Oryctolagus cuniculus: one gene and its partner. Each later gene encodes a partner of the first gene's protein in a complex. Links are inferred from orthologs where the notes say so. Each region holds a gene or a part of one and is shown on either strand. Other genes may lie near its edges.

Evidence for each region.
Region 2: OGT (region 1) and THAP3 share a complex: the UniProt entries of both Homo sapiens proteins name them as parts of the THAP1/THAP3-HCFC1-OGT complex. The link is inferred for Oryctolagus cuniculus from reciprocal best matches to the Homo sapiens genes OGT and THAP3.

What each region holds. Positions count from the first base shown.
Region 1 is NC_091453.1:51,360,182-51,364,917, forward strand, and holds part of OGT (UDP-N-acetylglucosamine--peptide N-acetylglucosaminyltransferase 110 kDa subunit), read left to right. Parts: intron 1-1,423; coding exon 1,424-1,549; intron 1,550-2,686; coding exon 2,687-2,857; intron 2,858-2,967; coding exon 2,968-3,084; intron 3,085-3,174; coding exon 3,175-3,345; intron 3,346-4,736. UniProt on the Homo sapiens protein: Catalyzes the transfer of a single N-acetylglucosamine from UDP-GlcNAc to a serine or threonine residue in cytoplasmic and nuclear proteins resulting in their modification with a beta-linked N-acetylglucosamine (O-GlcNAc).
Region 2 is NC_091438.1:160,922,824-160,927,464, forward strand, and holds the start of THAP3 (THAP domain-containing protein 3), read right to left. Parts: upstream 3,419-4,641; 5' UTR 3,358-3,418; coding exon 3,284-3,357; intron 1,445-3,283; coding exon 1,252-1,444; coding exon of another isoform or gene 1,250-1,251; intron 1-1,249. UniProt on the Homo sapiens protein: Component of a THAP1/THAP3-HCFC1-OGT complex that is required for the regulation of the transcriptional activity of RRM1.

The DNA.
Region 1 (4,736 bases):
GAGAGAGAGAGAGAGAGAGAGAGAGAGAGAGAGATGTCTTCTATCCACTGGTTCACTCCCCAAATGGCTGCAATGGTCAGGGCTGGGTCAAACTAGAGCCAGGAGTCAAGAGCTTCTTCCAGATCTCCCATTTGTGTGCAGAGGCCCGAGCACTTGTGCCATCCTCTGCTGCTTTCCCTTAGGGAGCTGGATTGGAAGTAAAGCAGCTAAGGCGTGAACTGGCACCAATATGGGATGCTGGTGCTGGCTTAACTCTGCTATGCCATAGAGCTGGCCCCTGCTAGTACTTTAAACCGCCGTTAACCTTCAGGTGCACCCTTTACCAATTAAATGTAAGTTACTTACCTTCTTCTTGTTGTTTTTAAGATTTATTTATTTGAAAGGCAGAGTGACAGGGGAAAAGGAGGGGGCACGGCAACAGATTGCTTCCATTCCTTGGTTTGTGCTCCAAGTGGTCATGACAACTGAGGCAAGGCCAGGTTGAAGCCAGGAGCCAGAAGCCCCATCTGGGCCTCTACCACATGGGTAGCAGGAGCTCAAAGTACTTTAACTATCATCAGTTGCTTCCCAGGGCATTGGTAGGGAGCAGGATTGGAAGCAGAGTAACTGGGAGTTGAACTGGCATTCTGATACGGGATCCAGGCATCCCAAGTGGTGGCTTAACCCACTGTGCCACAGCACCTGCTTCTCCTCACCTTTTTTAAACCTACCTTGTCCTTTACTCTGGTTCTTTTCAATTGTTCTTTACTGAGGTTATATTTTCTCTCTCTCTTTCTTTTTGAAGATTTATTTATTTGAAAGGCAGAGTTACAGAGAAGCAGAGGCAGAGAGAGAGAGAGAGAGAGAGAGAGAGGTCTTCCATTCGCCGGTTCACTCCTCAGATGGCCACAATGGTCGGAGCTGGGCTGATCTGAAGCCAGGGTCCAGGAGCTTCTTCCAGGTCTCCCACGCAGGTGCAGGGCCCAAGGATTTGGGCCATCTTCTACTGCTTTCCCAGGCCATAGCAGAGAGCTGGATCAGAAGTGGAGCAGCTGAGACTCAAATTGGTGCCCATATGGGATGCTGGCACTGAATGCAGTGGCCTTACCTGCTATACCACAGTGTTGGCCTCTGAGGTTATATTTTCAGATTCCCTCTCATTCCTTGTAATCTTTGAAGGTCTTTTTCAAATACTAACTCTGCTATGACGTGTCACTACTCCAAACATTCAGTTCAGAGGTAAACTCTTCTTCCTCTGTGTCCTGTTTCTGTAATGCTTTGAGTGCATATTAATGGCACTTACACATATTTTGGCCTTTATCAGTGTGGTTAATTTCTGTTAACTACTTTTGCATCAGGGAATCTGAATTCTGTTTAATGCCATTAAAAATAATCACATTATTCTGAGATTATATGTGCTGAATTCTTATTTTGTGTTCCACAGATTCCATGCAATGGAAAAGCAGCTGATCGCATCCATCAGGATGGAATTCACATCCTTGTGAATATGAATGGTTATACCAAGGGTGCACGAAATGAGCTCTTTGCTCTTAGACCAGCTCCTATTCAGGTAAAGGAATTAGTCACTCGGGATGTATCTTGGACTACAAAGATAGTGATGTATTTTTTTCCCTTAGGCTAACAGATACATGAAATAGTAGAGCAGACCTAGTTATGTTTTAGAAACTACAGTTCTTGAAATGTACAGGGACACATAATTTTGAGTGCAGAACACAGTGCCTCTGGATACATGCATATGTACCCGTATGGAGACATGCAATTCATGGTTGAATTATACAAATTTGAAAAACATTTTGGCACTTAGAAGATTAGTCTAAAATACTACTTTATTGCTCTTGGTTAAAGAAGTTAATCCTAATTGTTAATTTATTTAAATTTGGAACAATTTTTAAGGTTTATTTATATTTATTTATTTATTTTTGCCAGGCAGTTAGATAGAGAGAGAGAGACAGAGAGTTATAGACAGTGTGAGAGAGTTATAGACAGTGAGAGAGAGACAGAAAGGTCTTCCTTCCGTTGGCTCACTCCCCTAATGGCCACTACGGCCGGCGCTGCCAGGAGCCAGGTACTTCATCCTGGTCTCCCATGTGGGTGCAGGGCCCAAGCACTTGGACCATCCTCCGCTGCCCTCTTGGGCCACAGCAGAGAGCTAGACTGGAAGAGGAGCAACTGGGACTAGTACCCGGCGCCCCAACTGGGACTAGAACCTGGGGTGTTGGCGCCACAGGTGGAGGATTTGCCAAGTGAGCCACAGCGCCGGCCAAGGTTTATTTATTTGAAAGGCTGAGTTAAAGAGAACAGAGACAGATCTTTCATCTGCTGGTCCACTCCCCAAATGGCCTCAATGGCTGGAGCTGGGCCAGGCTGGAGCCAGGGGCTTCATCCAGGTCTCCCACTTTAGTGGCAGGGCCACTTGGGTGGGTGGCTTTTCCAGGTACATTAGCAGGGAGTTGGATTGGAACTGGAATAGCTGAGATTCCAAGTGGCAGTGGCTTAATCTACTGGCCAGCCCCTAAATTTGGAACCTTTTAATGAGTGTTCTTATGTTTTTTTTAAACACTTTATTGAGGTGTGATGCATGTACAAAAGAGTCTATCCATCTTTAATGCGTACAGTTTGTTGAATTAAGAAAGAAGTATACCGATGAAGTTTCTTAATCAGTTTCTGGTCTTTCTCTCTTTTAAAGGCGATGTGGCTGGGATACCCTGGGACTAGCGGTGCACTTTTCATGGATTATATAATCACTGATCAGGAAACATCACCAGCAGAGGTTGCTGAGCAGTATTCTGAGAAATTGGCTTATATGCCCCATACTTTCTTTATTGGTGATCATGCTAATATGTTCCCTCACTTGAAGGTATGTAGAAAACTGCCGAGGGGCTGGGATTCAAAGAATTGTCATCATGTATTTCCTTCTTGTTGCTCATATGCACCCTGAGACATGTCTGAAACGTTTTTTTCCATTAGAAAAAAGCAGTCATTGATTTTAAGTCCAATGGGCACATTTACGACAATCGGATAGTTCTGAATGGCATCGACCTCAAAGCATTTCTTGATAGTCTACCAGATGTGAAAATTGTGAAGGTAAGAATCTCGTCAGTGTTACCATTGAAATAATGATAATTGCATTTGAGATCTTTCCTTAATGTATTTTGTATCCTTTTGTGTTTTTAGATGAAATGTCCTGATGGAGGAGACAATGCAGATAGCAGTAACACGGCTCTTAATATGCCTGTCATTCCTATGAACACTATTGCCGAAGCAGTTATTGAAATGATAAATAGAGGACAGATTCAGATAACGATTAATGGATTTAGTATTAGCAATGGCTTGGCAACCACACAGGTGAGAAAAGAATAATAGTCTATTACATGTGCTACCAAGCATGCGTTTATCTTCTTTAACCCTCACAGTTAACTCTAGGAGGGAAGCATTATTATCCTCATTTTACAGATGAGGATGTGAGTTCAGTGGAAATTGGTGTCCTTGTAGGTTTGAATTTAAAAGTCTCTTGTATTCAGCCAGCAGGTTGCTGAGAGAGAGTTTACTGTGTTAATATCTTGTTATTCCCTGCCTGTGGCTATGCTCTCTATCATATGGTGAAATGTGTGTCCTTTTCCTGGGCTAAATTGTACTTACACTTTACATTCAGACAGCTCCTCTCAATAATCTGTTCCTGTACTTTAGGTTTTACCTCTTCAGCCCTACTCCATTGATAACCTCCCTGTTGTGTTTTTGTAATATTTGAGATATTCAACAGAAGACATTATCTCTGTGTCCTCCAGTGAATTGAATTACTCTAGGGCATGTGTGTTAACCACAATAATGTAATATGCACTCAACAAATAATGTATTGCATGCTTGAATAAATGAGTATGCACCTCTGTTAAGAGAGTGTGAGGCTAGGATCCCAGACCTCTTAGGAGTTAACAGTTTCGTTGAAATGGCTGAACCTGCCTAGAATAGTTAAATAACAGCAATAACAGCATAAGGCAGTACTCGCAAGTGTGGGTTTGCAAGATAAGGTAGAAGCTCAGAAATGCTGATGATCAATGTGGGGAGAGACAGTTGCGAGAGGAGACCATTTGGAGGGATAATTTCAGTTTAGCGATGCAATTTAGAAAAGGAATATTTCATTCATGAGAAAAAGAGTGAGCAAAAGCTTGCTGTTGAATTATTAATAGGGTACTGGGAAATTTGGTTAGAGCAAGAAGTTTCAGGGCTGGTGCAGTGGCTCACTTGGTTAATACTCTCCAGATCCCATATGGGCACTGGGCTCTAGTCCCAGTTGCTCCTCTTCCAGTCCAGCTCTCTGCTGTGGCCCAGGAAGGCAGTGGAGGATGGCCCAAGTGCTTGGGCCCTGCACCCCATGGGAGACCAGGAGAAGCACCTGGCTCCTGGCTTCAGATTGGCGCAGTGCCAGCCGTAGTGGCCATTTGGGGAGTGAACCAACAGAAGGAAGACCTTTCTGTCTCTCTCTCTCTCACTGTCTGTAACTCTACCTGTCAAATAAATTAAAGTATGATGGCATTGCTTCATCAAACAAATTACCAATGAATGAATTACCTTGAAAGTTTTATAGTGCAGTCCTCAAATTAAGGCAATGTTGCAGCCATTTCCTTTTTTTTAAAGATTTTATTTATTTGAGAGGTAGAGTTACAGACAATAAGAGGGAGAAGAGACAGAGAGAAAGGTCTTCCACCCTCTTGTTAACTCCCCAAATGGCCACAATGGCT
Region 2 (4,641 bases), on another chromosome or scaffold:
CTCTCTCTCTCTCTCTCTCTCTCTGCCTCTCCTTCTCTCTCTCTGTAATTCTGCCTTTCAAATAAATAAATCTTTTAAAAAGGGGGGGAGTAAGTGGGGCTGGCGCTGTGGTGTAGCAGGTAAAGCCGCCGCCTGCAGTGCTGGCATCCCATGTGGGCGCCAGTTCAAGTCCCAGCTGCTCCACTTCTGATCCAGCTCTCTGCTGTGGCCTGGGAAAGCAGTGGACGATGGCCCAAGTCCTTGGGGCCCTGCACCCACATGGAAGACCCGGAAGAAGTTCCCGGCTCCTGGCCATCTGGGGAGTGAACCAGCAGTGGAAGACTTTCCTCTACCTCTCTGCTTCTGCCTCTCTGTAACTCTGCCTTTCAAATAAATAAATAAGGGGGGGGGGGGGGGGGCAGGTGGCCGCAGGTGCCAGGAGACGTGGGGCAGGCAGGGGATGGGCCGACTGGGAAGAGCCGGGCAGGCAGGGCGCAGGGGCGCAGGCACGTTTGCTGACTGAGTCCAGAGTCGGCCTCAGTCTTCCTCACTCTGCTTGCCCACGCCTGCTCTGGGCACCCACTGGATTTAGGAAAATCGAGGTCACCCTCTCATGGCTCCCACGTCCCACACTCTTCACAAACTCTGCTGAGCAGCACCCACACACCCCGCCCCCAAGACCCGTCCCCTCGTGTCCCACAGGTCCATCAGGGCCTCAGCCAGCTCCAAGCCCCTCCCCTCCACCGCCAGGCCTGCAGGGAGGTCTCAGGAGGTGAGGCCTCTGGGCAGGAGACAGCCTGCTCCCGCCGTCTGCGCGGCCGGCCTGCGGACCCCAGGACACTCGCCAGGACCCGGCCTTGCTCCACGGCCTCCAGAACCGGCAGTGCTCGGCTCGAGCCGCCCACCTATTAACTGTGCTCCCTCTGCCCTCTGGGGACCTCCAGCTGGGGGACCTTCCCCCACTCCCAGCCCCTGCCCACCGTCCCACGCCTCCCGCCTTCCTGCCGCTGTCTGCCCTCAGCATGCCAGCTGCGGGCCGCCCAGGACACGTGCTGCCGGCCGCAGGAGACCCAGGCAGGCAGCCCCTCCAACCGCGCTGTCGGGAAGCACACTTGGCCTAAAGGGGCCCAACTGACCCCTTCTCCACTCAAGGTCAAGGCCGGCAGAGCCACAGGGCTCCAAGCCCCAGATGCCCGACGGGGCCACTCCTGCGCTAGTGCTTGGCCTTGGCTCCCTGCCCCCGGCTGCCTGTGCCGTCGGGGAGCGCCCTACCTGCGTGGGGTCCTGGAAGGCAAACACCGTGGGCACGGCGTTGTGTTTCAGGTTCTTGCGGTTCCCGAAGGCGCTGAAGCACTCCGGGCTGAAGTGCTCGGAGCAGATGACCGTGTGCTTTTTGGGCTTGAAGTTGGCCCGGCCGATGTTGAGCACCCATTCTTTCAGCAGCTCGGGGCGGCTGAACGGGAACCTAGAAGGGCGAGCGGGCACGTGAGCGAGCTCAGCGCCTGGGGAGCCCGCTGGGCGCGCAGTCACCTCCCTCTGTGCAATCACATCTTGAGGGCTGGTGCTGTGGCACAGCGGCTAAAGCCGCCGCCTGCACTGCCAGCATCCCATATGAGCGCCGGTTCACGCCCCGGCTGCTCCACTACCGATCCAGCTCTGCTATGACGTGGAAAAGCAGCAGAAGATGGCCCAAGTCCTTGGGCCCCTGCACCCGCGCGGGAGAAGCTCCTGTCGCAGCCATTTGGACAATGGACCAGCAGATGGAAGACCTCCCTCTCTCTGCCTCTCTGTAACTTTGCCTTTCAAATAAATTAAAAAAAAAAATCACAACTGATTTCTGGAAGCTTCCGTCATGACTCTTCATGGCATCCTAATAAAGCAAACCGACCATGAAAACGGCCAACATCCCGAGGCCCTGTTACCACTGGCCGCCTGGGGTCAGCAAGACCACCGCTCCCAAGCAGGCAGGAACCGACCACGTGGGCGGCATCAGCTGACAGGAAGTGCTGGGGGGACAGGGAGGGCCACCTGAAGAGATCGCGCTTAGCCAGCAGAGGACACAGCAGGAGGGCGTGGGGGCCAGGGCTGAGCTGCAGGAGGGCACCAGGCGGTCACAGCAGGTGTCAGCGGGAGGCGGGGAGCCCAGGACAGTTCAGAGTGGGGTTTGCCTCGGGATCAGCCACGCGTGGCACAGCAGGGGAAGCCATCGCCTGCGAGACCGTCCTCCCAGACCGGAGTCCACGTCTGATCCAGCTCCCTGCTACGGCGCCTGGGAAGGCAGCAGAGGACCGTCCAAGTGCCTGGGCCCCTGCACCCACGCGGGAGACTCCGATGGGGTCCCAGGTCCTGGCTTCCGCCCGGCCTAGCTGTGTCTGTTGAGGCCGTTTAGGAAGTGAACCAGGGATGGAGTCTGATCTCTAACTCCGGTTTCAAGGAAATACATAGGTCTTAAAAAAAAAAATCAAGGTACTTCTGGATTACCCAAGTGCAGGGCAGCAGGTGGACACAGGGATGGCTCCTGGGGGCTGTGTGAAGGCCGGCCCTCGGAAACCCACGCACCCGGGCAGGAGGGAACGCGGCCCACACCCTCAGTACCCGCACTGGACGTGCAGGAAGCAAGCCGGCAAAGAGCTGACTGTCCGAGAAGCCCAGCGGGCAATCGAGGGATGGGCGCCGTCCAGCGGCCCAGAGAGGCCAAGGTGAGCACGGGGCCTGGCCTGCGGCTCAACAGCCCGCATCAGAGTCCACAACAGCCCACTTCTGACCCAGCTCCCTGCTGTGACCTGGGAAAGCAGCGGGAGGTGGCCCAGGTGCCTGGGGCCCTGCACCCACGTGGGAGCCCAGGGAGCTCCTGATTCATCCTGGCCCAGCCCAGGCTGTTGTGGCCATTTGGGGAGTGAACCAATGGACAGAAGATTCCGCGCGCTCTCTCTCTTCAAAATAAATAACGAATGAATTAAAAAAAAAAAAAAAAAAGGCAGCTCCATGCCCGGGTGAATGCCCAGGGCAGCGTCTGAGGCGGCCGGACAGGGAGCTGCCCCAATGCCCTCAGCGGGGAGGTGGGCATGCAGCGGGCGGGGCCAGCCAGGATCTGGTTCCGCGGCCCCCGCCGGCTGCCTGGCACGAAAGCGTGGAGCGAGCAGAGGGGGTGCGCACCCCCGGGCCGGCCCGCACAGACGGGACGAGGGGCGGCCCCCAGGTCTCCCCCCTCCCCCGGCTGCCCGAGTCCCTGAGCTCCCGGGTGCCCCGGGCCAGGTGCACGCGGCGCCCCCGCCCCGTGCGCCCCCTCCCCGCGCCCCCTCACCGGTGGAAGGTGAGCTGTTTCCTACAATTTCCATATCGGTTACAGCACAGCCGGGCTGCGCAGGACTTGGGCATCTCCGCCACTAGGCCCAGCTGCCCCCAACAAAGATGGCGGCGCGGCAGGCGGGGGCGGGGCCTGCGGGGTGGCGGGAGGGGGGCGGGACGGGCGCGGGGCCGCGGGGCTCGGGCCGGGTCTGGGGGCTCCCGGCCCCCGCACCCTCAGAGCCTGGCGCTGCCGGGGTCCAGGCTGAGACCCCTGCCCATCGCCCCTCCCCCAGCGCGGGTATGGCTCGGAGGTGGGCGGTGGTCTCCCCTCTCTGCATCGTGTGCGCTGGGCGCTCACCTCCCGGCCCGGCCCCGCGCCCTCGGCCCGGCCCCGCGCCCTCGCAGAGCCTGGCGCTGCGGGGAGGGAGGGGGCCGGCTGAGACCCCTGCCCATCGCCCCTCCCCCAGCGCGGGTATGGCTCAGAGATGGGCAGTGGTCTCGCCTCTCTGCATCACGCGCCCTGGACCGCTCACCTCCCGGCCCGGCCCCGCGCCCTCGAAGAGCCTGGCGCTGCGGGGAGGGAGGGGGCCGGCCGAGACCCCTGCCCATCGCCCCTCCCCCCGCGCGGTAAGGCTGGGCTGGGAGGTGGGTGGTGGTCTCGCCTCTCTGCATAGCGCGCGCTAGGCGCTCACCTCCCCTACTGGCCCAGCCCCGGCCCCTCCGCGCGGCACGGGGAGCCCCCCATGCCCTCTGCACGGAACACACAGGCCGGCGCCGCGCTCAAAGGAGAACCATCTTTATTTACAAATGTACAGTTTCACAGAAACAGCTTGGTTTATGCAGACGGACACCACACGGGACCACGGCCGGGACCCTGCACAAAGCAGCTGACCACACAAGCCCAGCGGGCCCCAGCCCTGGCGCGGCTCTGCCACAGACCAGGAGGAAGCGGGGGACCCCATGGAGCCCCTCCGAGGCGACACCAGCGCGGCCCGGCTCCAGGCTCTTAAATGCACTTCTAAAAGCTCAAGTTTAAAACAGAAACGACTTTGGAACTTGGGCTGGGCAGGCGCGGCCGGGCAGCTCTTTGGCTCTGGGCTGGGGAGCCCCCGACAAACACGGCTTCACCACTGTTTCGCTACTTGTTGACAGAAGCATTAAAACACAGAGACAGACCCGGCCCGACAGGAGAGATGCGACAACAGCAAACTATGTATCCGCCCTGGAGTTTCGGGAGAGAACTCTGCTGGCCCGAGACCCCCGCCCCGCTACAAGCACACTTGGGCACTACTCCCTCTCCGCCTTCCAGGGAACAAGGCTCGTGGAAACACTTCACAAACAGGTGCCCAGACCAGCTGTGTCCCAGAGCCCCGG